Arabidopsis thaliana: one gene and its partners. The protein of the gene in region 3 interacts with the protein of the main gene of each other region in a pairwise test. Each region holds a gene or a part of one and is shown on either strand. Other genes may lie near its edges.

Region 1 (7,290 bases), on a different chromosome or scaffold from region 3:
TGGTTGGTTCCATATAAACTTCGCAATTGATACACTCTGTGTATATTATGTATTCTTGATTTGCCATGTTTTTCTTTACATTAACATAGATAATAGATCTCTAAGATCTGCTTTAGTTTGTTTTCTTCGTTTTCTTTTTTGTTAGGCCTCCATATTCTTTTTCTCTTTATCCCCCACCAGTTTTAGTCGCAATATATGTGTCCGTTTTTAAAAGTGATTATGAAAATACAAGGCTTTTGTGGCCCAATCACTTTTTATGGCCCGACGAGTATTGGATTTTTCGCTTGAATTTGTAGCAATTTTTCGAGTCGTGTTTATTTTGGAAGTTACTTGCATTAATATGAATGCATAGACTATATGCAGGACAGGACTGACTATATGTATAATTATTTTCTATTGTTCGTTCATGTCATGGCATGGCATGTGCAAGTTATGGCCTAAGCTCATGAACCCACGTGACTGTATTCCTCTTTGTACATATTTTACATGTTAATCATGAGTTTTTTATATTAGTTTATTCAAAATTAAGTTCACATCAACCATATTGACGAGAATTTATATTATCTTGGACAAATATGTCAAACAATGACGAGACATAATTCCCTAATAAAAATATGTGAATCTACATTTCGATCTATCGTTATAGAAACAACCGACCACTTTGCTTTTTGTTATAGATATGTGTGATCTAAATCATATCGAGACAACCTCACAAATCTCAAAATTTAGTAATATACGGTCGATAATACAGTGGACAAATTCTGGTTGGGTCGTATGCAACTAATAAACAGCATTGAACTCAAATCATATGAACATCAACCAAAATTCTCAAAATCAATTTTACGTGTTTTTATTATTTCTTTAATTGGAAAATTCCTTATATGTTATACAACCCAACGACCACTATAATGCTCCTCACATGTAAAGATTATATGTCGTCACGGCCGATTTCTCCGCGTTTCATACAAAAAGGGGAACAATATCGTCATATTTGGAAATTTTGTTAAATCTGCGTAGTATAATTCGAATAATTCGTTCGTAGAAGTACCAACAAAGGTTACAAAAGCACATGAAAATTATGGAATAATATATTTTGAAGAGATTCACTATATATCATGTCTACATAAAGCATCATAATCTTTGACCGATATATCATATATGATAAAATGATATTGATCGTCTATAACTGGAATAATAATTACGATTCACAATATGTTTTAGATTCATGAATTACTATTAATGAGAAGTTGACAAAAAGAATATGTAGCTAACTAGCTATTAATGAGAAATTAGTTTTTCATTCTAAAATCCAAATGATGACCACTATTAGGCCTAATAGTCATTTCTTCAACCTGAAATAAAAAAGTATTGATTGACATGAAATGCTTGTAGGTTTCTAATTTATGTAGCATATATTTTTTCTATTTGTTTTTCTGATCAAATATCGTAGCATATATCATATTTCTCTGGATGTAATATAACATGTAATTTTTTCCATCGTATAATGGATAGTTGTCGTAAACTAAACTTTAATTTATGTTGTTCGTTACGTTATGGACTAAACCTTCTGATTCAATATCTAAGCAAATCGAAAGTAGTTTTCATGTTATCGTTTGTTTTTATGTGTGTGTAAATATATATATGGCTAATATTTGTATACTGCGAAATGTAGAAATGTACATATGTTATATATTTTCATGGATATAAACTTTCCTTGACATTACAGGAGATAGATATATAGATAGCCATTACAAATTCAAATTTGGATTGAGTGCACTTAATGCTAGTAACACTTATATCCAAAAAAACAAAAAAAATTGGCTACAAATTCTCAGGGAAACATTTATAAATAAAAGATAAAAAAATAATATAGTTGATATTAAAACCCAAAAAAAGAAAGAAAGAAAGAATATTTAGTAATATCATTATTTAAGAAAATGTAACAACCATTTTCCAAAACAATAAAAAACGATTATATATATATATATATATATATATATATATATATATATATATTATTGTAAATGAAAAAAATTGGTAGGAAGATTTGCTTTGTCTTAACTTGGGGCGATGAATATACTTTCATCGTTCATCAGGTACACGGTCGGTCCATGAAACCCGGAAAACCCAGTTGGAGACAGTTCTCTTCCTCAAACTCTTGATCCTATCATGACTGCTTTTTGAAATCACTCTTCTACTATCTGTTGACTCTACGTACTCTTTGAGCCTCTTCATCGCCAAATCAAGCGTATCTTCACTCATGTTGGCGAAACAAACCCTAAACCAACCCGGTTCAGTACAATGGCACGATGAACCAGGTGAAATATTCAGCTTGACGTCATATACAATCTTCTTCCATAGCTCAAGTTCTGCTTCGAATGTGTTTGTGTCCAAAAGATGTCTCATGTCAACCCAACAGAACAAACCAGCGTTGCTTTTAAGACAAGTAATCCCTGCAGCTTCTAGACCGGACACGAGTTTCTTCTGACGAATCTTGAGTCTTTTCTGGTTTTCGTCGAGGTATGTACTTGTGAACTTCTTGTCTGAAAGCAATGCAGAGAGAAGGTACTGTGTTTGAGAAGACACGAGACCGAAACTTGACATTTTTGTTGCAGCGGAAACAACCATTTCGTCGTTGGAGTAAATTGCTCCTACGCGAAAACCTGGTAAACCGAGATCTTTGGAAAGACTATAAACAATATGAACTCGTTTGGAGACTTCGCTGTTCTCGAGGTTCTTGTCTTTTAAGACATCCATGACACTTACAAACTGTTCAAACCCAAAAACGGTACCTGAATAGATCTCGTCGCTTATGAGATGAATGTTTTTGGAAGTAATGAAGTCAACGAGAAGGTTAAGTTCTCTTCTGGTCAACATTGTGCCAAGAGGGTTAGACGGGTTGGTAACAAGAACTCCTTTGACCTTAAGATCAAGCTTTTGAGCTTGTTGATAAGCTTGTTGAAGAGCTGACTCTGTTATTTGGAACCCATTAGAGCTTGAGCAATGAATAGGTACGATCTCTGCTCCCGTTCTCCATTTCAAGTCTCTATCGAATCTGTATGCATAAGCGAATCAAATACTATCAGCTCAGGTTTCTTGTGAGGCAAGTAATTAAATAAAAAAACCTAAAAAATTACCCTGGATAGTAAGGAGTTGGTAAAAGGAAAGCGTCCCCGGGTTCGGCGAGACAAAACATGAGAGTTTCGTTGGCAGATGTTGAACCAGCAGCTAGGACAATCTTGCTTGGATCAAATGTTACTCTATTTCCTCTGATTTCCTCCATAAACTCTGCCAAAGCCTATAGATAAATAAACCCTATTAAGTTAGTTACTCGCTTCTTGATCGAGTTACTTATGAAGGTGAAAAAAAATTAATTACTTACTTTCTTGAATTCGGGTAGGCCATGATAGTCTTGAAAGAGAGCAAGCTCTTTGAAAATGGATTGGCCGTCCTTTTTTAGTCCGGCTGCGTCCGGATTCTTAGCTAACCATGTCTCTATGAGATCAAAACATAGCTGCATGCATATTAAAAACATCGTATTAAACACCCAAAAATATACAATAATTAAAGATTGGTCGATTGGTCGAAAACTCGTAGTTATAGTTACCTGATTTTCGGCAAGACCCATTTGAATAATCCCATTAGGGTTCTTGATTTCGTCGTAAGGGTTCTTCTCGTATTCTTCCCATCCCAAGAAGTAGGAAGAGTCTTGTCCATGAGCATTGCTTGTCACTTTTCTCGACAGTTGTTTCATTTTTTGATATAAAAATCAAAAAGAATGTTTGGTTTATTGAAAGATGACTAATGAAGAATGGGAGAACGGTAAATGAGAGAGATATGTTGAATTAGGTTTTAGTTAGTTGGTGAAGACTGAAGAGTGAGATGTGGAATGTGGTTGCTTGTGGGAGCTATATATATATATACTTCCGTTTTTTACTTGACGTCACGTAGCTAGTAATTTATTAGTAATCATTTATCGTCAGTTAGTATATATTTTGCTAATCTTATACTACAAATCTAAAGAAAATCTCTCTTCCTATCTCTATATAAAGTTAAATTGAAAAAGACTCAACAATTATTTCAAATTTTGAAGTATGTGTGAAATTGGGTTAATTAAAAACAGAAGTAGACTAAAACGTTATAAAATTTTAGAGGAAGTAGAATAATATTGTTTAACCCTCACTATATATATTATTACACAAACACATGAGAGATATAAAGAAAACGATAATAATGATAATTGGATAGGTGAAGTAGAATAGAGAAAAGAGAAAGCTTGACACATAGTTAAACAAAACAAAATTAGTTTTGTCCATAAAACGCGTTTTCGGTCACCGCCCATACATACATGACAATGAATTAGCGACCAAAACAATACAAAATCTATTTTTAGATCGAATGTCATGATATTGTGTTGGGGATTTCACCAATTGTGTTTCGGGAGTTATCTGAGATGTTTATGATTATTACTGCGGTTATGCTTATAATACAAAACTAGTGGACATTAGAGATATTAAATCTGAAGAAAAAGTGGCCGCCAAATTGAAAATAAATAGTAAATTTTGATTGGGAGTTTTGGGAATTTGAATATCTCCGAAGCCAGTAAGACTAAGCTTAGAAAAAATTTTAAGATCCATTTCGGATTTGGACATTTAGATCCGAACTCGATAATTTCATGATCATGCCACTAGGGTTAATCAGACACAAGGTCCAAATTAAAAAAAAAAGTGTATTATTCACAATTTCTGGTTATGAATCTTTTGATTTAAAGATGTTATTGTTTCTAATTTACAATTTTTTTTTGACGATTTTAATAAAAGCATACAAAATAAAGAATAGAAAGATTCTAAATTATTGTTAGATCTAGAGAGTTTTCTATAATCTTGTTGATTAGTTTTCCACAATCTTATAAAGTTTTCCAAATAATCTTTCTATTTTAATGATATTTTTGATGACTTTATTTTGTAAAGGAAAATATCAAAAGTTATAAACTAATAACATAATAATTTAATTCATTAATAATCATAAATTCTTTTATTTTAATTGAATAACACAAAAATTTTATTGACTTTCTAAAAGTATGAATCAAATAACTGCATGAAAATTTTAGATCGCATTTTACAAATTTTAAACTAATACACTAGATTTTAATAAACTTTTAAAAAATTTTAACTGAATAACAACAGATTCTATATAACATTTAAATCACAAAAACTCTATTTAATTCGCACACAAATAACATCCCACTGTATATATCATCACGTGCTTGCCCAAAAAAATTAAAAAATAAACGAGCCCATAATAAATGGGCCTTGAACAGATTCTAAGCCCAAGTCAATTAACGAAAAATAAGAGACGAAACGAAAACTTATGACTTTGTTTACCAGTCTTCTTCTGAAAACAGAACTTGCAAATGCGAGAAACATACAATCTCTGAGGTTCACTTGTCACTATTAGATGAATCAGACGCCATGGAAGTTCAAAACTTTTCGAGACCTTCTACTGAAATCTGTAGCGGAGAGAGATCTCTTCACTGGGAAATCACTTCACGCGCTCTACGTGAAATCCATTGTAGCTTCGTCCACTTATCTCTCAAATCACTTCGTGAATCTCTACTCCAAATGTGGTCGCCTTTCCTACGCACGAGCCGCGTTCTACTCCACGGAAGAACCCAATGTCTTCTCTTACAATGTAATTGTCAAAGCTTACGCGAAAGATTCGAAAATCCATATTGCACGCCAGTTGTTCGACGAAATTCCCCAACCAGACACTGTCTCTTACAATACTCTTATCTCGGGGTACGCTGATGCTAGAGAAACTTTTGCCGCAATGGTTCTGTTTAAGAGAATGAGAAAATTGGGATTTGAGGTTGATGGGTTTACGTTATCAGGGTTGATAGCAGCTTGTTGTGACCGTGTTGATTTGATAAAGCAGCTTCACTGTTTCTCTGTCTCGGGAGGGTTTGATTCGTACTCGTCTGTGAATAACGCGTTTGTTACGTATTATAGTAAAGGCGGGCTTTTGAGAGAGGCGGTATCGGTGTTTTATGGGATGGATGAATTAAGAGATGAAGTTTCGTGGAATTCGATGATTGTGGCTTATGGGCAGCACAAGGAAGGAGCAAAGGCATTAGCTTTGTATAAAGAAATGATCTTTAAAGGATTCAAGATTGATATGTTTACATTGGCAAGTGTTTTAAATGCTCTCACTAGCTTGGATCATTTGATCGGTGGCCGTCAGTTCCACGGTAAGCTGATCAAGGCTGGATTTCACCAGAACTCACATGTGGGAAGTGGTTTGATTGATTTTTACTCAAAATGCGGGGGTTGTGATGGTATGTATGATAGTGAGAAGGTATTTCAAGAGATTCTATCGCCGGATTTGGTTGTTTGGAATACGATGATTTCTGGATATTCAATGAACGAGGAACTCTCTGAAGAAGCTGTGAAGAGTTTTAGACAGATGCAACGTATTGGACATAGACCTGATGATTGCAGTTTTGTCTGTGTCACAAGCGCTTGCTCGAATCTCTCCTCTCCTTCTCAGTGCAAGCAGATTCATGGCTTGGCGATCAAATCTCACATCCCTTCGAATAGAATCTCTGTGAACAACGCGTTGATTTCGTTGTATTACAAAAGCGGAAACCTGCAAGACGCAAGGTGGGTATTTGATAGAATGCCGGAACTTAATGCGGTATCTTTCAATTGTATGATCAAAGGTTATGCGCAGCACGGGCATGGAACAGAAGCTTTGCTTTTATACCAACGGATGCTGGACTCGGGTATTGCGCCTAACAAGATAACCTTTGTAGCCGTTCTTTCTGCTTGTGCGCACTGTGGTAAGGTCGACGAGGGTCAGGAGTACTTCAACACCATGAAGGAGACGTTCAAGATCGAACCAGAGGCTGAGCACTATTCTTGTATGATTGATCTTTTAGGCCGAGCAGGGAAGCTAGAAGAGGCAGAGAGATTCATAGATGCAATGCCTTATAAGCCAGGCTCTGTTGCTTGGGCTGCTTTGCTCGGGGCTTGTAGGAAACACAAAAACATGGCTCTTGCAGAGAGAGCAGCTAATGAGCTTATGGTGATGCAACCATTAGCTGCCACGCCATATGTGATGCTAGCAAACATGTATGCAGATGCCAGGAAATGGGAAGAGATGGCCTCGGTGAGGAAATCAATGAGGGGGAAAAGGATAAGGAAGAAACCGGGATGTAGTTGGATCGAAGTGAAGAAGAAAAAGCATGTATTCGTCGCAGAAGATTGGTCTCATCCGATGATACGAGAAGTG
Region 2 (7,929 bases), on a different chromosome or scaffold from region 3:
GTGTCTAGTTGTAACCTATATAGCTGCTAGATGAGTCGTTTTCCAATCTATAATTGGTTACAAAATTTGGGAACCATTTGCCAGAAAAGAAAAAACATTCAATCAAAATACAGCATAGATTTATAAACATGGAAAAGGATAGGGAGGGAGACAAATACAAAGTGGTATCAAGACATAAACATAAGTTGACCATACTGTTTGTTAACTTGGTATCCAATGCAGGTGGGATTTTTTGTTTTCATTTTTTTTTGGTCGAGATTGCTTGGATATGACCTACCCATTTGTCATATAACACCAACTTGTATCTATGTACAACATCCTTTATTTTGGATTTAAGTCTCTTCCATGATATTAAGCCTTTCAATTCTTCATTTCTTGTGTAACCGTGAAATTCTCCAACCGAAACATAAACTTATTATTTCTTATGCATATAGAAAACCACATTTTACTACTCATCACTCCAATATATCAGTGGTACTCATATATTTATTGTACAATCTCATTCAGACATATCAGCCGGAATGAAAGTTCAACCATCTAATAGGCTAACACACTAGCATTGCTTCAAATTTCTTAAACACGCTAACATTGTAACAACATAATAATAATGACACAAAAATATACATTTGAGGTTTTGAGAGAGTGCTAAAATGGGACCTACGTTTTCATTTCTTGGAACATGAATAGTGGGAATTAAGAAAAACAAAAAAAATCGAAAAAGAGAAAGATCACGATGGTTGTCACAAAATGTTGTTGATGATGTAGGGAATTGGTAGGGTCTTATAACCTATACTTTTCACATGCATTCTTAAACCCTATTTCTACTGCATCTCCATGTGCCTCCCCTCACGTCTCTACCTTCTCTCTCTATCTGTTTTTTTTTTTCAATCAATAACAAAAGAAATATTACATCATTTTCCCTTTCATCATATCTTTAACCAGCTAAAACAAGTTTGAAGCGAATTTTGCATATATACAGTCCCAACTTCGTCAATTATATTGAAGTTCGTTATCTTTTTTTTTTTTTTTTTTTTTTTTTTTTTTTTTTTTTTGTATGTGTATGTGTGTGTGTGTGAAATATCGCGATTAATAGTTTAAGAAAATTCTTCATCAGAATAATAGATTATAATATTTTCAAAGATTTACTTGTTTTTTGATTATTTTGATTTTATTAAAATCATATTGTTGAGACAATGGTATTATGGTCATGAAGAACCTCAAGTGTTTTATGTATCAATTGGCAAATTTCAGCACAAGTGAATTTTTTTCTTGATTATTTTCTACTGTCTATACATATAAAATAGAGAATATAATATAACAACTTTGAGCTATAATTAGAATCTGTTGGAAAAAAATGAAAAAATATAACAAATATATTCTATCTTGATTTTTCAAAGTATAGAATCTAAAAAAAGCTATATGATATTAATTATCCAATTATATGATTGCATTTATGAGTTGATATGATATCTTTTGGTTGTTTCATAAAACAGAATCAAGAATAAGATGATCAATACCGAAATATATGGCTTCATCATCAAATATTATTTCACATGTGATTCTCCAATGTATCATTATTAAGAGTTGTTATACGAGGACCCATTTTTTTCGCAGCAATCAAATCAATTTGAGCTTTTTAATTAAAATCTTCAAAAATAATCTGAGAAAATCACAGCGTCTCATTAATTATTAAAAAAGTACTTCAAAAAAGTGGATATACGATTTTGAAATGATAACGATTTCCTGACGTCAGAAAAAATCCTATAACAAACATTAATGTTTTTTTTTGGTTAGTTAAGAGACAATAATATGTTACATCTACCAAAGAATATTCCAGTTAAGTTAGTTAATAGTTGGAGTCAAACTTAAACGAACAACGTCGCCTACAAATCTGGGGGTATAAGTTATAACCAACGGCCACCAACATGGGTTTTGATATCGTCCACCTGATTTTTATGTTAATATAACTCAATTTGATTGATTAAATATTATGCTCTTATACTAATCATTCTAGGTCCAAAACTGAATCACTCATTGCACATCATTTTTATGATTTTTATTTTGAAAATCTCATGTTTCAAGAAATATTTGTGCATTCTACTAGTAGCTTATTTTAAATAAAGTTTCGAGTTTATATAATAAACAATATGTTTATTTCTTTGATTTGTATACATTTTAAAAAAAAAAACAGGATGAAGATATATACAACTAAAGCTCAATTCAACTAGTAGGAAAATTGTATTCTACAAAAAATTTGTGTTTATGTTTTTATTATGATAACCATCCAAACTCATTATTTCACCCATGATCAAAGTAACTATATCAATATATCTGCAACAATATCTGACTCAACATTTATTTTTACATAAACTGCGGACCAACACAATTATGCTAAACTATCATCATTTATTCTATTGGTATTGGAGATCAGTCTACGTCAGTGAATACCGCATAATTCACATGAAACTAACTCCAAAACCCTTTAACCAAAAAAAAAAAAAAACTAATTACAACTCCGGTTAACCTGTCGATAATTACAAGACTGAAAACATCCTAGTCAGTAAAAAACATATTTGTATGTATCCGATCCCACCAAATAAATAAGTTGTTGTCAATGATAGAGGAAGAGAAAACGAAAAAAAATTGCGGACCAAGACATTTGGGACTACTAGAGTTTAGGGAGCATAAATGGTCCTATTTGACTTACCCTCTACCGTATAAATAAATGTATTTTAGCCGTATAAATGTATACATACGTAGATGCATAGGTATACAGGATTACTTTAGACGATTTGATGTCGGTATGACATTACATTTGACTCCCCTAGCTCCACTTGTCTCTGTTCATTTTTCTTGTATGTCATTTCCTTGTTTTCCAATTTTACGTTTACCACCCTATTTTATTTTGTTAATATTTTCTAAGTCAACGTGTTGACACTTAATTACAGAATCTGATAACTAAAGTTACATAAAATGCTCACAGTTTTTTTCAGCAAAATACTCACATTATACGACATATAAAATTTTAGCAGTCTATAAATAGTAATTATTTGGCATTAGTATTGGACAAGAAGTAGAATATAAATTAATGTTGGTTCTTTTTTCTATCCAACTTCACACAGCCAATTTTGTAGCTGACATCGTGAATGGACGACTAAACTAATCATAAGCATAGTGATTCAGTTTATACAACAACAACAAAAAGTTAATTACATTTGAGGTTTCTTTTTAAATTGCTATGTTTGGTCCCTAAATGATGGTCATAATAAGGACGGTCCGGCGGTGACGGAAACGCGTAAAGACTAATCATTTTAGTACTATTAATTTGTAGAATTATTATTAAATATGCTTGAATCCTAGAAAACGATCAAATAAATTTTGGAAAGAAGCTCAAAATGTGTTATTTAATTTTGTCCCTATGTAGAGCTGGTTTTTTTATTTTTATTTAAACATAATCCTAAGATTTATTGCTGTATGTGTGAATGCAATAATAAATAGAAACTCAATAATAGATCATTCTTATTTTCAAAAAGAAACAAGAACTACTGCAATGTTTTAATTGTTTATTTTGTATTAAATAATATAGCTTGTTAATTATTGGAGATCGCATTAAATAATAAAAGAAGTTGTCTCACATGTCTTGGAGAATATTTACTAAAAACTATGGTAATGTCTGGACGGTCAAAAAAGTCTCTCTAGTTTCTGATTCTGTTGTCACATTTTATTTTTGAAATTAAATGTCGTTAGATTATTATTATCTATATATATATATATCCCAACAGACCCATTGCTTCTCCAACCACATCTCACTCTTCACCAACTTAAACCCTAATTCAAGATCTCTTCTTTTCGTTCTCTCCTTCACCCACATTAGTCTTCTCTACGACCAAAATCTCTTGACTTTAAAAACAGAGAATGAAACAGCTTTCGACAAAAGTGACAAGCAATGGTCATGGACAAGACTCATCCTACTTCTTGGGATGGGAAGAGTACGAGAAGAATCCTTATGATGAGATCAAGAACCCTAATGGGATGATCCAGATGGGTCTAGCCGAAAACCAGCTATGTTTCGATCTAATCGAGTCATGGTTAACTAAGAACCCAGACGCGGCAAGTCTCAAGAGGAACGGTCAATCCATTTTCAGAGAGCTTGCTCTATTTCAAGACTATCATGGCATGCCTGAATTCAAAAAAGTAAGCTTCTTTCATTTTTCTCAAATTCAATAAAGAGAGTAACCTGACGTGTATCACAAGTAATGAATCCATTTCTCATGAACATTTTCTGTCATTTTTTACAGGCTATGGCTGAGTTTATGGAAGAGATAAGAGGAAACCGTGTCACGTTCGATCCAAAAAAGATTGTTTTAGCGGCTGGTTCGACATCTGCGAATGAGACTCTCATGTTTTGCCTTGCAGAGCCTGGCGATGCTTTCCTTTTGCCTACTCCTTACTATCCTGGGTAAATTACACTTCTCCTCTTTACTTGGATTCCAAGTAAACCCAATAGAAATATATGCTTACGTCTAGGCTTTTTTATGATTACAGATTTGATAGAGATCTTAAATGGAGAACCGGAGCAGAGATAGTACCCATTCACTGCTCAAGCTCTAATGGCTTCCAAATCACGGAATCAGCTCTGCAACAAGCTTACCAACAAGCCCAGAAACTTGATCTCAAAGTCAAAGGAGTTCTTGTCACGAATCCATCTAACCCACTTGGCACTGCGTTGACCAGACGTGAACTTAACCTTCTCGTTGACTTCATCACTTCCAAGAACATTCATCTCATTAGCGACGAGATCTATTCAGGCACTATGTTCGGGTTTGAACAGTTCATAAGCGTAATGGATGTCTTGAAAGACAAGAAACTCGAAGACACGGAGGTTTCAAAACGAGTCCACGTCGTTTATAGCCTTTCTAAAGATCTGGGACTTCCTGGTTTCCGTGTGGGAGCGATCTACTCCAACGACGAAATGATCGTTTCAGCAGCTACAAAAATGTCAAGTTTTGGTCTTGTTTCTTCTCAGACACAATACCTTCTCTCTGCATTGCTCTCCGACAAGAAGTTCACTAGCCAATACCTCGAAGAGAACCAGAAACGACTCAAGTCCAGACAGAGACGCCTCGTGTCTGGTCTTGAGTCTGCAGGGATTACTTGCCTGAGAAGCAACGCGGGTTTGTTCTGTTGGGTCGACATGAGACACCTTTTGGACACAAACACATTTGAAGCAGAGCTTGACCTCTGGAAAAAGATTGTTTACAACGTGAAACTAAACATATCACCCGGTTCTTCATGTCACTGCACCGAACCGGGTTGGTTTAGGGTTTGTTTCGCTAATATGAGCGAGGACACACTCGATTTGGCCTTGAAGAGGCTCAAAACTTTCGTAGAATCCACAGACTGTGGACGAATGATATCAAGAAGCAGCCATGAAAGGCTCAAGAGTTTGAGGAAGAAGACAGTCTCTAACTGGGTTTTCCGGGTTTCATGGACCGATCGTGTACCTGATGAACGATGAAATTATTCATCTCCCTAAGTTTGAGACGACGAACAAAAGAAAACTTCACGGTTTTTTCTTCTTCTTTATTTCCTTCATTTTTTATATTTTGGGAAAGTATTTTTAATTTTCCAAGATATCTATAATCATATCATTATATATGTAATATTTTTTTTAATGTTTGGGTGAGTCTTTAATTTATGCAATTTTTCGGGTGTAAAATTGTTACTATGTGTTATTATATGTTTTTAATGCACTCAATCCGAATGTGGATTTGCAGTGGCTATATATATAAATAAATATATATCCCGTTGTAATTTTAGTGAAACGTTTGTGTGTATTGTACCCATATATAAAAATGTAATTCACTCTTTTTAGTTTATATATATTTTGTTTTATAAATATGGGTTTCTTTAATTTTATGCTCTATCATTTGGTATAGTTTTTGAGTTTGTTGTGAGAATTCTCCTCTGACTATAAGGCTATAAAGATCGTGTTAACGTTGTTGGTTAAGGACGTTAGTTGAGGCATATCAAAAGGAGGCTTAATTTAATGTCAATTAACTAATTAATTAATCATTATATGGTAATATGGCGGGAATTGTCGAATTGGTCAACTGAGAAAGCAAAAGGGGAAAGTCAAAGGTTTTCCACTTAGGTGAATCAAGAGAGAAGGTATGATCTACTTGTCGAAAATATTCGATGAAGCCTAAATAATTTAGTTAAAAATCGACTAAAACCCATTAACAATTTCGGGGTAAAGGTAGCTTCTAGCGTTCTACGGCAGTAAAGTTTTGAGCTTTGAATAGGTACGTTGCATTGCGTAAGAATGTTCACGTCACATATTTGAACTAAAATTACAAGTTTACAACGAAATCCACATTTTTTTTTTGTATAATCAAAACTTACTCTATCAGGATTAACGTAATTATAAGAAAAAAATGAGCAACTTATGAGAAACCGAAATCTGTATATCGAGAGCCATGGTTGATTGATATATATGTTAAGGAGGATATGTCCCAATGATTACAATGATTATAGATTTATACATTACAATTCCAATCATCGAAATCAATAATTTTCAAAAATTTGAGGATGAAAAGGCTCCAATCATTTAAAGAGAAAAGTCTTTATAACCATTTTTTTTTTCTTGTGAAATTATTTCCCGAGGGATAAAGTAGAGGATAAAGTGTCATATCATCATAGGCTAATCATTATAGTATAAGATATAAGATACCGGTCAAATGTTATTATGCTAAGCCTATCACATAAAAAAAAAACTAAAAAAGTGCCATGAGCTTTGTTGGTACTACGAAGAGTAGACTACGAAATATATAATACAACTTTAGTAACCGATTTTGTTTTAATTTTAGCATGATACGCGGCTATACCGGCCGTAACGGCAAATGATCCTTACATGTGAACAGCATTAATGTGGTGGTTGAGTCCCCAAAAATCTGTCTCAATTAATTAACAATTCGATTATAAAAACTTAACAGAGATATGTAGTAGCAGTACGTACTTTGAAAAATAAGAGATTGAGAATTTGGTTGGATTTGAGAATCCGTGAATGAGTAATACTGATTAAGTAATATTCTACTTAAAAGTCTTTATTGCATATGACCGACCATAACTATACAAACTGACATTATGAAGTCGTTGTACCAGAAAATTTTCGTCATTGTCATGGTCGTAGTCTACTTGCTACTATAATAAGCGACATTGGAATGATATTTGATATTATCATTCCATAAATTGTTACGTCAACTGGTGCCACATACTAATCATATAGTTGGTAATGTAAGAATACGTTTTCTTGTAAAAATGTTTAAAATATTGTTTTACCCAGTTCTAAAAGTAGATATAGATTATGGAAGTTTATCTTTATCAACGTATTGTAAAGTAGATATAGATTATGGAAGTTATGTACATATGCATGTCAAGTTTGAACCAAAATTTCAGTCACGTGGGCTTCACGAGTGAGGCCATATAACTGCACATGCCATGACACAGAAACATATAACATCTCTTATGCATACACCTATAGTAATCATATTTATATATGCATAACAAACAAATGAATTGTAACGATTTGTTTTTTACTCCATATTTGACTTCGACCGATTGGACATATAATTTGGAATTCAAATTACATCAATTATATGCCAGGACCCCTTTGATGTTCTTCATGTATGCATGAGGGGTCATCTACGCATGGCATTGCTACTTACGTTACACATACATACTTGATCCATACATAACATAACATTATGGGGAAATTTTCAGAATTAAATTTTTTCATATATTATAGTATTCTCTAATATACCATGTGGGTCACGTTAGTTTTTCTCGTACTTGATGCATAGCTTATGAATCGAGAAGTCACTAGCTATTTATATATATATACGAATATATCTTTATAACTATAATTAG
Region 3 (9,994 bases):
TGGTCAGAAGGAGAATACAAAGGCAAAGCTGGATGGTTTCCGTCTGCGTACGTAGAGAAACAAGAGAAAGCTCCGGCAAGCAAGATCGTGGAATCAAACTCCAAGCAACAGTGATGCCCTTTCTTTAACATATACATACCAAAAAGTATGTGTAAGATATGATTGTGTTTCTCTTCCTTCTTACCTATCATCGTAAGTAAAGATATGTTTTCGACGAGTAAATATGATCTTGTAAGAGTAATGATTTGTGTGTTTTCTTCCTTTTTTCTTATGTATCAACATGAGTCTAACTCTAGACTCTTGAATCATTTCTTTACGCAGTTGTGAGAATCCTGTTTTATCTTTTGTTAGATACAATCCTCTGTTTCTTCTGTAATTTACTCTGATAATGATAATGATCTTTTCTTTTTCAGTAAAATTTGATTTTTAAAAAATAAAGGATGGAACTTTGAATAATAAGACTCTCTTTCTCTACAAAGTTCACAACTTTACATTCTCATTATCTCATATCATCCCCTAAAGAGACATGAACATGAGTTTGTTACAAACTCCATCACTTCTTATGTACAATAAGATGCTCAAATCTCTTGCTGATGGTAAAAGTTTCACGAAAGTTTTGGCTTTGTTCGGTGAATTGCGAGGACAAGGATTGTATCCTGATAATTTCACGTTACCGGTTGTTCTAAAGTCAATTGGTCGTTTGAGGAAGGTTATAGAAGGTGAGAAGGTTCATGGTTATGCTGTGAAAGCTGGGCTTGAGTTCGATTCTTATGTATCTAATTCACTCATGGGAATGTATGCTTCATTGGGTAAGATAGAGATCACACATAAAGTGTTCGATGAAATGCCTCAACGAGATGTTGTTTCTTGGAATGGGTTGATTTCTAGTTATGTTGGTAATGGGAGGTTTGAGGATGCCATTGGTGTGTTTAAGCGGATGAGTCAGGAGAGCAATTTGAAGTTTGATGAAGGTACAATTGTGAGCACTCTTTCGGCTTGTTCGGCTTTGAAGAATCTTGAAATTGGTGAAAGGATTTATAGGTTTGTTGTTACAGAATTTGAAATGAGTGTTAGGATTGGGAATGCGTTGGTGGATATGTTCTGTAAATGTGGGTGTCTCGATAAGGCTAGAGCGGTTTTCGATTCGATGAGAGACAAGAATGTTAAGTGTTGGACTAGTATGGTTTTTGGGTATGTTAGTACTGGTAGGATTGATGAGGCTAGAGTTTTGTTTGAGAGAAGTCCTGTAAAGGATGTTGTTTTGTGGACAGCTATGATGAATGGGTATGTTCAGTTTAACCGGTTTGATGAGGCATTGGAACTGTTCAGGTGCATGCAAACTGCGGGAATTAGGCCGGATAATTTCGTGCTAGTCTCTCTCTTGACAGGTTGCGCGCAAACGGGAGCTTTAGAGCAAGGAAAATGGATTCATGGGTACATAAATGAGAACAGGGTTACAGTAGATAAAGTAGTTGGTACTGCTCTTGTAGACATGTATGCAAAATGTGGATGCATTGAGACAGCTCTAGAGGTTTTCTATGAAATAAAGGAGAGAGACACAGCTTCGTGGACATCACTTATCTACGGTCTTGCGATGAACGGGATGTCAGGAAGAGCGCTGGACTTGTATTACGAAATGGAAAATGTTGGTGTTAGACTAGACGCTATAACATTTGTCGCGGTTTTAACAGCTTGCAATCATGGTGGATTTGTAGCAGAAGGCCGTAAGATTTTCCATTCGATGACCGAAAGACATAACGTCCAGCCTAAATCAGAGCACTGCAGCTGTCTGATTGACCTACTATGCAGAGCTGGTTTGTTAGATGAAGCAGAGGAATTGATAGATAAGATGCGTGGTGAAAGCGATGAAACTCTAGTTCCTGTATACTGTTCTTTACTTAGTGCTGCTAGGAACTATGGGAATGTAAAAATAGCAGAACGGGTAGCGGAAAAGCTTGAGAAAGTGGAAGTAAGTGATTCCAGTGCTCATACTCTGCTTGCAAGTGTATATGCATCTGCTAATAGATGGGAAGATGTAACTAATGTGAGAAGGAAAATGAAAGATTTGGGAATCAGAAAGTTTCCTGGTTGCAGCTCCATCGAGATTGATGGGGTTGGTCATGAGTTTATTGTTGGAGATGATCTATTATCACACCCAAAAATGGATGAGATCAACTCAATGCTGCATCAAACGACAAATTTGATGTTGGATTTGGAACATAAAGAAATTGATAGCTGAAACTTTCTTGTACATTCTCTAACTACTTCCCTTATCATTAACATTTGTTTCCCTGCTAATGAACCGGTTTTGAATCGATGTTGGTTTTGAATCGATATCAGCTTCTCTGTAACTGAATCAGGATTGATTGAGACTGAAGAAGAAGAAGATGAAGGAACATGGATTATTTCAAAAGAACATAAAGGCAGAGAGTAGTTTTTCTACAAAGGTCACAACTATACAATTCAATTTCATGTTCAAATAAAAGTTTTTATACCAAAAATCAGAACAAAAAGAGAAAGGGCTGAAAATGAATGGCTCGAATCTGGTAAAACTGGAGGGGCAAAGTAAATGGCAACACAACACAAAGACTCTGTTCCATTAACTGGAAAATTATGGCTCTTCGTTGGTATTTGCAGGTTTTCTCGGGGAGCAAAAACGGAAATCGAATAGCATTTGAAGGCTTTCCCCGGGAAACCGGACTCGGTTTACTTTTTTTCTCGAGGTTTCGACTGGTGGGTTTATGCAATTAATCAGAGCTGGAATCATAAAATTCGCTGGGACAAGGAGTCATGACCTCTGATTCAAGTAACTGGACAACCCGATGCATCGTTGGACGCTCTTCTGGACTCGGAGACACACACTGTGTTGCTATTGATAGTAGAGCGTCAAGGCTCTCCATCTGCATTCCTTCACAGTTTGGATCAACAATATCCCTTGGCCGTTTTTCGCTGATTAAGAACTTTAGCTGTAAATCATGAGTCAAAAGCTTTTTTAGTCAAGTTTGTCGTAACAAAATATCAGTATTGAAAAAGAATCTTATTTGCATACCCAACCAACAACGTTAAGGCCTTTCTCGATGAAGGAAGCATCGGTTGGTCTTTTCCCACTCAAGACTTCAAGAACCAAAACCCCAAAACTGTATACATCGGTTTTCTCAGTTGCTCTACCACTTTGCATATATTCTGTCAAATGGAAAAGTCTCAGCATTTGAAAGATCAAATCTTTATGTAAGTAAAGACTTTTAAAAGGCATATGTACCTGGAGCTAGGTACCCAAATGTGCCTGCAACAATGGTTGTGATATGAGATTCTTCGTCTTCCAACAACTTGGCTAGACCAAAATCCGATACCCGTGCCTCGAGATTGCCATCAAGCAAAATGTTGCTCGACTTTATATCACGATGTATAATCCGAGGAGAACAATCATGATGCAAATATGATAACCCTTTCGCAGCTCCTATGATGATATTTACGCGTGAATCCCAGTCCAATTGCTCGCCTCTCTCTACTAATTCAAGAACCAAACTTCTCAGTGAATCATTCATAATATGGAAGAGAGCCATAAAGAGCAGATTGATCATACCATGAAGTGCTTCATCAAGGCTACCACCGGGCAAGTAATCATATAACAGTAGCTTTGATGTTGGTGAATTGCAATATCCACGTAGATTCACGAGGTATCGGTGTTTGATGCTCCCAAGAATCTCAAGCTCCCGCTCAAAAAACCGATCAAACCCTTCGTTTAACTTTAGAATTCTCTTCAATGCAAAGACTTTGCCATCATCCATGGCCAGCTTATACACCGTTCCAAAGCCTCCACATCCAATTATGTGCTCTTCATTCAACATTTCCAGCTTCTTAATGATATCTTTGGAAGAGTAAGGTAAATCTCCGTGGAACATCACAATAGACGCACCTGAATTGAAAAAGTCACAATGAAGATTTAGGAGATAGAGAAAAATATGAAATTTCCCAATATTTAACGAGATAATATCTGTACAAAAAAAATCAATACGGCTCACCTCCACCAACATCCTTTGCAAGGCTTTTAATCTCGACTTTACCGAGCTTTTTATATAGAAAGCATCCCCAGAAACACATGAGTGCAACTAGGAGTAGCGCACCTACAGTTGCTGATGCGCTAATCAGCAGCTTACCAGAGTTTTTCTTTTGATTTTGACCTATAAAGTATAAGACACCAAATAAATATAACTTTACTGATAGAGAGCCACAACAAAACCTGTATATCACAAGAAATTCATAATTGCTTTTACCTGATTGAGAATGTGATGAAGGGTTTCCACTATCATCTTGGCACACGACATCAACATGCTTTCCACACAAGTTAAGATTTCCAATGAAGCTGTAGTAGTAACGCATCAGTTTGAGAATCATATAATTTCAGTCGCACTGATACAATCTAGCTAAATAGTTATGTGGTTCAAAAAATCATCTCGAATATAAGCGAAATATGAAAGATCAGCTGTATAAATGTAACTTTAGAGGATTGACAAAAAAAAAAAAAAAATGTAACTTTAGAGGCTTTATTTTTCTATCCCTACAAGAAGAAAAGGGTGTTTATTGTCTTACGAGTTCTTAGAAAATCCAGAGAGCACTCCGTCTGAAGGTATTTGCCCCACCAGGAAGTTGTTCGAGACATTGCTTCATAAGACAAACGAAACAGAAAGATTCACAGGACTGCAATATGATAAATTACAGCGGAAGTTAGAGATTAAGGTGCTCACAAGTTACTAAGCTTTTTTAACTGCCCAAGCGAAGCAGGGATAGGTCCACTGAGAGTGTTGCTTGACATGTCCCTTGAAAATAAAATAAAAAAGTCAAAAGTCAGTTTTAGTAGAGAAAAGAGAACAATCAATATGTGAATCTGAAGTAAACAATACATTATCATGCTTTTCAAATTGCTCACCAAGAGTTTAGGTATAACTAGTTCTGAATATAATGTGCATGAGAAGACATTATGCAGTCAACCATATGTTACCATGATCCTAGATGGTGATAGAAGTAAATGAAAACAAAAAACAAATAGATATTGCATACACTAAAAGAAGGATGCACTTGCAAGTACGTATAGGGAAGAGAAAAAAACATACAGCTTTTGAAGGCCAGGCAGGTCTCCCATTTCAGCTGGGATTGGTCCAGTGAAGTAGTTACTCTGCAAGTGACTGCAAAACCAGTTGGACAATTTTGATGACCATAAGCAACTGGAATTGGTCTCTCAGAAACCATGTGGAATCAGTATAAAATCCTGGAAAAGCGCTTACATTTCCTCCAATGCTGTGCAATTTCCCAATGCTGTAGGTATTGCTCCATATAAAGCATTGTTGTGAAGCATTCTGCAATGACACACAGATGATCAGAATCGAAGTACTCTCTTAAGCAATAAAAATGAATAAGGCTAGAGAGCACATACAAAAGCCTTAAATGGTCCAACTTTCCAATATCAGGAGGTAAAGGTCCCATTATTTTGTGATAAGTAAGATTCCTGCGAAACAAGAGTATTAGGGAGCACAAATACTGAAGAGAAAACCAGTAAACCTTGACAAGTTTGAAAACTTACAAGGTTATAACTCTTTTCGTTTTTGCATCACATGTCACTCCGTTCCAGTTACATGGATCTGGATCTTCCGGTCTCCACTGATGGATGAAACTATCTGATCTAGTAACTGCATTTCTGAAGCTCAGAAGCGCCTCGCCTGAAGAATGGAAACAAGCAATAAAGGATTAAAGCTCAATAAAAGGTCCAGGACGCTATGAATAGTAATAGTTGATTCATATCGACGTACCGTCAGGACTAATCGCTTGACTTTCATTAGATAGTGAGCAAAGCAACGAGATCAAAAGAAGCCATGAGCAGCAGCTTTTCATCTCACAGATGCCCATCATGGCACTGTCCAAGCATAATATAACTACTACCAATCATTTGAAAAGAACAGCCTCTTGGTTGTCAGTTATTAGTTGATTCCATGTCTATGTTCAAGTAAGAAACTAGACTCCTGAAAAACAAAGGAAAGCCCACAAAACTAATTGTCAATTACACTACACATTAAGCTCAGTCTCCACACAACTTATGCATGCTCTCATCTACATTTTGAGTACTCAAAACAGTGAAATTGCCTCACAAGAACCAATACACACTTTCCAATTGCTAAAATCAGAAAACGAGAGCTAAATTCGGCCAACAATCTCAAAATCATCATCAACAAAAGAGCTCAAAAACAGCTCTAGCTTAACATAGATTACGAAATTCCCAGATACCATCCAATCCTATAACACAATAACAACTGAAGATTCGAACAATATAACAAATCCAAAAAACGATTCAGCAAAAGACCCAAAACCCCACTCTTTCCAACAATATCAAAGGTTATAGCTTTAAAAGCAAACAGAATTAGTAAGAATTATAAGAACCTCTAAAAATGGATCCGAGAGGAGGAAGAATTGAGACAGAGGAAGAAGAAGATGACTAATTTGAGCTGTAAAGCAAAAAAAAAAAAATATAACTTAAGGAGAAGATAAAAAAAACAAAAAAGGAATCGACTTTTTATTTTGTTTGTGTGATTTATGGTAAGAGTGAAGAGAGAGAAAACTAGAGTGAGAGAGAGAGAGTGTGTGAAGAAGAAGAAGATGCTTTCTTCTCCAAAGCATACGACCAATGAGAAGAAACGAAGTGGGTCTCGCACGTGCCGATCTTGACCTCCCACACGTGTCAACCGACGCTTTCTTCATAAAACCCAATTATTATTGCCAGCTAGACCTTAGCTAAGCCTAATCTCTACAATGGTCGAAATCATTGGGCCCATTTTTAAGGCCCATTACGGTATAAGCCCAGCGGTTTGATTGAACCGGTTTGAGATTAGAAGCCATTGTTGTCCGTTGTTTCACCATCGCGTTATATCGATGGCTACGGCGGCGATTATTTCCGTGAAACCGCCGGCGAGCTTCTACTGCGGAGGAAACCGACGCGACGGAGGAAGGGGAATCACCATTGCACGAGTTTCTCGAGACGAACGGTTTCATGAGAGGATCGTTGGTCTCTCTGCCTCGACCGTGTTGTTCATCGGTTTAAGTAGCCTCCGCGTCTGTTCTCCGGCCTCCGCTCGAATACTACCACCGCCGATTGTCGTTACAGAGAATGAAATCAACACAGAAACTGTAGCTGGTGCGTGAAATTGAACATTTTCGTCACTCTTGGGATTTCGATGGATTTGAATTTTGTGTTCCAATGGAATGTTTTTGCAGGTGAAGAGAATCTAAATGAAGTTGAAGATGAAGAAAAACTGGAAGCTGATTTCGAAGCGTACAAGTCTAAAGTGTATTCTCTTACTGTCCCGCTAAAACTCGTTGCCTTGCGTGGCTCAGTGCCACCATCATGGATCAAGGTTTTAGTTTCACTTGTCTGTGTTTCCATTTCTATTTTGAATCTTAAGCTTATAGTTGAAAATGTATGTTGTTGGATTCTGTGAATGGAATTTAGGAGTTTATGAGCTCACAAGGGAAGAGAGTGAGGTTAAAGACTCAGTTTCGAGGAAATCTTGAAGAGATCTTTTTCGATCTATCGAAACCAAGTAAGAATGGAAAAAAGGGGGCTGCTTCAACTGCAGCAGCTGATATGATCAGCATTGGTGATTCTTGGCTTAGTTTTGCTATTAAGGAAAAGCTAATTGAGCCAATGAAAGGGATAGAAGATCAAGACTGGTATAAAGGCTTGAGTGATAAATGGAAGGTGAGAATTTAAATCAGTGGTTTAACAATATGAATATGAGTCTTTTTGAAAGAACACTAGCTTGAGAGATTTTAATAGGCATAATCTTTCATGTGTTTTGTTTTCGTACTCTGCTAGCTTGGGAATGTTCATAGGGTTCATTTCATGACTTAGAAAGTCTCAGATTTATCTCCGCAGGAACTATGCGGGAGAAAAAGCTCCTGACGGTGAAACGTGGGCTGTGCCATACCGCTGGGGCACCATGGTTATAGCATACAAAAAGAGCAAATTTCAGAATTATAAATTGGCACCGATAGAGGTTGGTATACTTTGTTGTTGCTAAATGCTGTCTTAGTGTTTTCCTATTTAAAAGAAGTGAATATCACTGAACATTTTGCTGAATTTAGGACTGGGCTGATCTGTGGCGACCCGAGCTTGCAGGAAGGATCGCAATGGTGAATTCTCCTAGAGAGGTTGTTGGTGCTGTTCTCAAATACATGAGAGCATCATACAATACGACAGACCTGGATTCACAAGTTCCTGGCGGAAGATTAGCAGTGGAGAAAAATCTGGCATCACTCATGAAACAGGTTATTACCTCTTTACTATCTCTCCATACCCTAAAGAGAACAGATGAGTTTAGGCTGACGTGTTTCACTCAACCTCTATAGTTATTGAGAAAAAATGACAATGGTGGCTGATCTTGTTTCCCCTTTTGCTTATAGATTAGACTATTTGATAGTAACAACTATTTAAAAGCTTTCAATGTCGGAGATGTCTGGGTCACTGTTGGTTGGAGCAGCGATGTTATCCCTGTCGCAAAACGTATGTCTAATGTTACAGTGATTGTTCCCAAATCCGGTGCCACCTTATGGGCTGATCTATGGGTAAGTTACCGTCGTAAAATCACTTAACCCTTCATCTGATATCTTGAATGCTTCTTGTTCTAAAGACGATATAACATATCTGGACACTAAACCGTGAAGCATAATTGTTTTTCAAGGCGATCCCGGCTGTTTCTGACTCTGGTAAAGAAGCAGAACAAAGAGGAGGACGAGTCCGAGGCCCATCTCCATTAATCAACCAGTGGATAGAATTCTGCTTGCAACCTGCAAGATCGTTACCATTCACACGGGAAGTAATTCCTGGTGCATCTCCTTCAGCTCTTGATGGTCCTCTGGTTACAGAACCCGAAAAAACAAAGAAAGACAGAACAAAACTGGACACAAACCTGGTCACAGGTGTTCCTCCTCCGGAGATCTTGTCTAAGTGTGAGTTCTTGGAACCTTTACCAGAGGCTACGCTATCGGAATATCGGCTTCTGATTGAAACTGTAAGGAAGCAAAGCCAAAGACCTGGCCTTGTGGAGAAACTAAAGGACATTGTTTCAATTAAGGTTCGAGGATTTAGGGCAAAGCTTGACTCCGAGATGAATAAGAACATTTGAGAGACGGACAAAAGTGGAAATGGAATCATTTGTATGATTACATAGAGCAACTTCATGTTGGTTAACATAAGGGGTTTTCTATCTCCTTATAACAGAGTATCATGTCATGAAGAGCCAGAGGCTGATCGCCTTTGCTCATGTTACTAGTTAGTCGTTAGTTCAAACACTATAGATGCCAAAACAAGTGTATAAATTAAATTAAACTACACAAAACGCCTAATATAACCTAACATTATTTAATTTATTGGCCATCTAAGAGGTAAATATCATGTAAAACGGTGTTAATGAATGCTTTGTTTTGAAAATGAACAAGGGAAAGTTAAATGTTCTTTTTCTTGGGACTATCAGCCCAACAATGAGCTATGAAGAGCCGAAGCGTTTTCACATTCCTCAAGTTTTCGTAATCAACGCGAGTCACATTCAAACACGTATTATATGCTTTTAAAGTGAGTGACTCTGCGTTTTCTCGATTCTGTTTACTTATAAAAGTTGTTGTGTGATAATTTTCTCTATCAAGTATGGTAGTGTGACACTCGGTTCTAGGATTTAGTCTCTCTTCATCCTCTGGTATTTCTGTTTTGGTTTGGTTGCAAGGAGACTTCATTAAGATCAATGGCAGACCAATATGAAAAGAGGATAACATGGACGATTAAGAATTTCTCCTCTTTGCAATCTCATGCAATTTATTTTGATATTTTTGTAGTTGGGGACACCAAATGGTAAAAACTTGTTCTCTTATGTTTGCTAATGTTTGCGTTTCATTTTAGGTTTACTTGATATTACCCTTTGCTTATTGGTTTTTGGTTTATGCTTGTAGGCATCTT

The links. The genes of interacting proteins can lie anywhere in the genome.
Region 1: the proteins of FEI1 (region 3) and ACS9 interact in a two-hybrid assay, tested with the Arabidopsis thaliana proteins (one study listed by BioGRID).
Region 2: the proteins of FEI1 (region 3) and ACS5 interact in a two-hybrid assay, tested with the Arabidopsis thaliana proteins (one study listed by BioGRID).

What each region holds. Positions count from the first base shown.
Region 1 is NC_003074.8:18,432,388-18,439,677, forward strand, and holds ACS9 (1-aminocyclopropane-1-carboxylate synthase 9), read right to left. Parts: upstream 3,755-7,290; coding exon 3,608-3,754; intron 3,515-3,607; coding exon 3,383-3,514; intron 3,299-3,382; coding exon 3,138-3,298; intron 3,056-3,137; coding exon 2,083-3,055; 3' UTR 2,062-2,082; downstream 1-2,061. Other genes in the region: AT3G49710 (Pentatricopeptide repeat (PPR) superfamily protein), read left to right, coding at 5,458-7,290. UniProt on the Arabidopsis thaliana protein: 1-aminocyclopropane-1-carboxylate synthase (ACS) enzymes catalyze the conversion of S-adenosyl-L-methionine (SAM) into 1-aminocyclopropane-1-carboxylate (ACC), a direct precursor of ethylene.
Region 2 is NC_003076.8:26,328,685-26,336,613, reverse strand, and holds ACS5 (ACC synthase 5), read left to right. Parts: upstream 1-3,801; 5' UTR 3,802-3,915; coding exon 3,916-4,194; intron 4,195-4,298; coding exon 4,299-4,459; intron 4,460-4,545; coding exon 4,546-5,518; 3' UTR 5,519-5,868; downstream 5,869-7,929. UniProt on the Arabidopsis thaliana protein: 1-aminocyclopropane-1-carboxylate synthase (ACS) enzymes catalyze the conversion of S-adenosyl-L-methionine (SAM) into 1-aminocyclopropane-1-carboxylate (ACC), a direct precursor of ethylene.
Region 3 is NC_003070.9:11,246,270-11,256,263, reverse strand, and holds FEI1 (Leucine-rich repeat protein kinase family protein), read right to left. Parts: upstream 6,647-9,994; 5' UTR 5,905-6,646; coding exon 5,805-5,904; intron 5,715-5,804; coding exon 5,579-5,714; intron 5,504-5,578; coding exon 5,432-5,503; intron 5,355-5,431; coding exon 5,283-5,354; intron 5,184-5,282; coding exon 5,112-5,183; intron 4,818-5,111; coding exon 4,746-4,817; intron 4,663-4,745; coding exon 4,591-4,662; intron 4,364-4,590; coding exon 4,275-4,363; intron 4,182-4,274; coding exon 4,023-4,181; intron 3,917-4,022; coding exon 3,584-3,916; intron 3,509-3,583; coding exon 3,260-3,508; intron 3,184-3,259; coding exon 3,050-3,183; intron 2,967-3,049; coding exon 2,748-2,966; 3' UTR 2,349-2,747; downstream 1-2,348. Other genes in the region: AT1G31440 (SH3 domain-containing protein), read left to right, coding at 1-114; AT1G31430 (Pentatricopeptide repeat (PPR-like) superfamily protein), read left to right, coding at 527-2,239; AT1G31410 (putrescine-binding periplasmic protein-like protein), read left to right, coding at 6,919-7,180, 7,261-7,400, 7,496-7,744, 7,908-8,042, 8,131-8,313, 8,449-8,610, 8,727-9,170; AT1G31400 (TRAF-like family protein), read left to right, coding at 9,783-9,889, 9,988-9,994.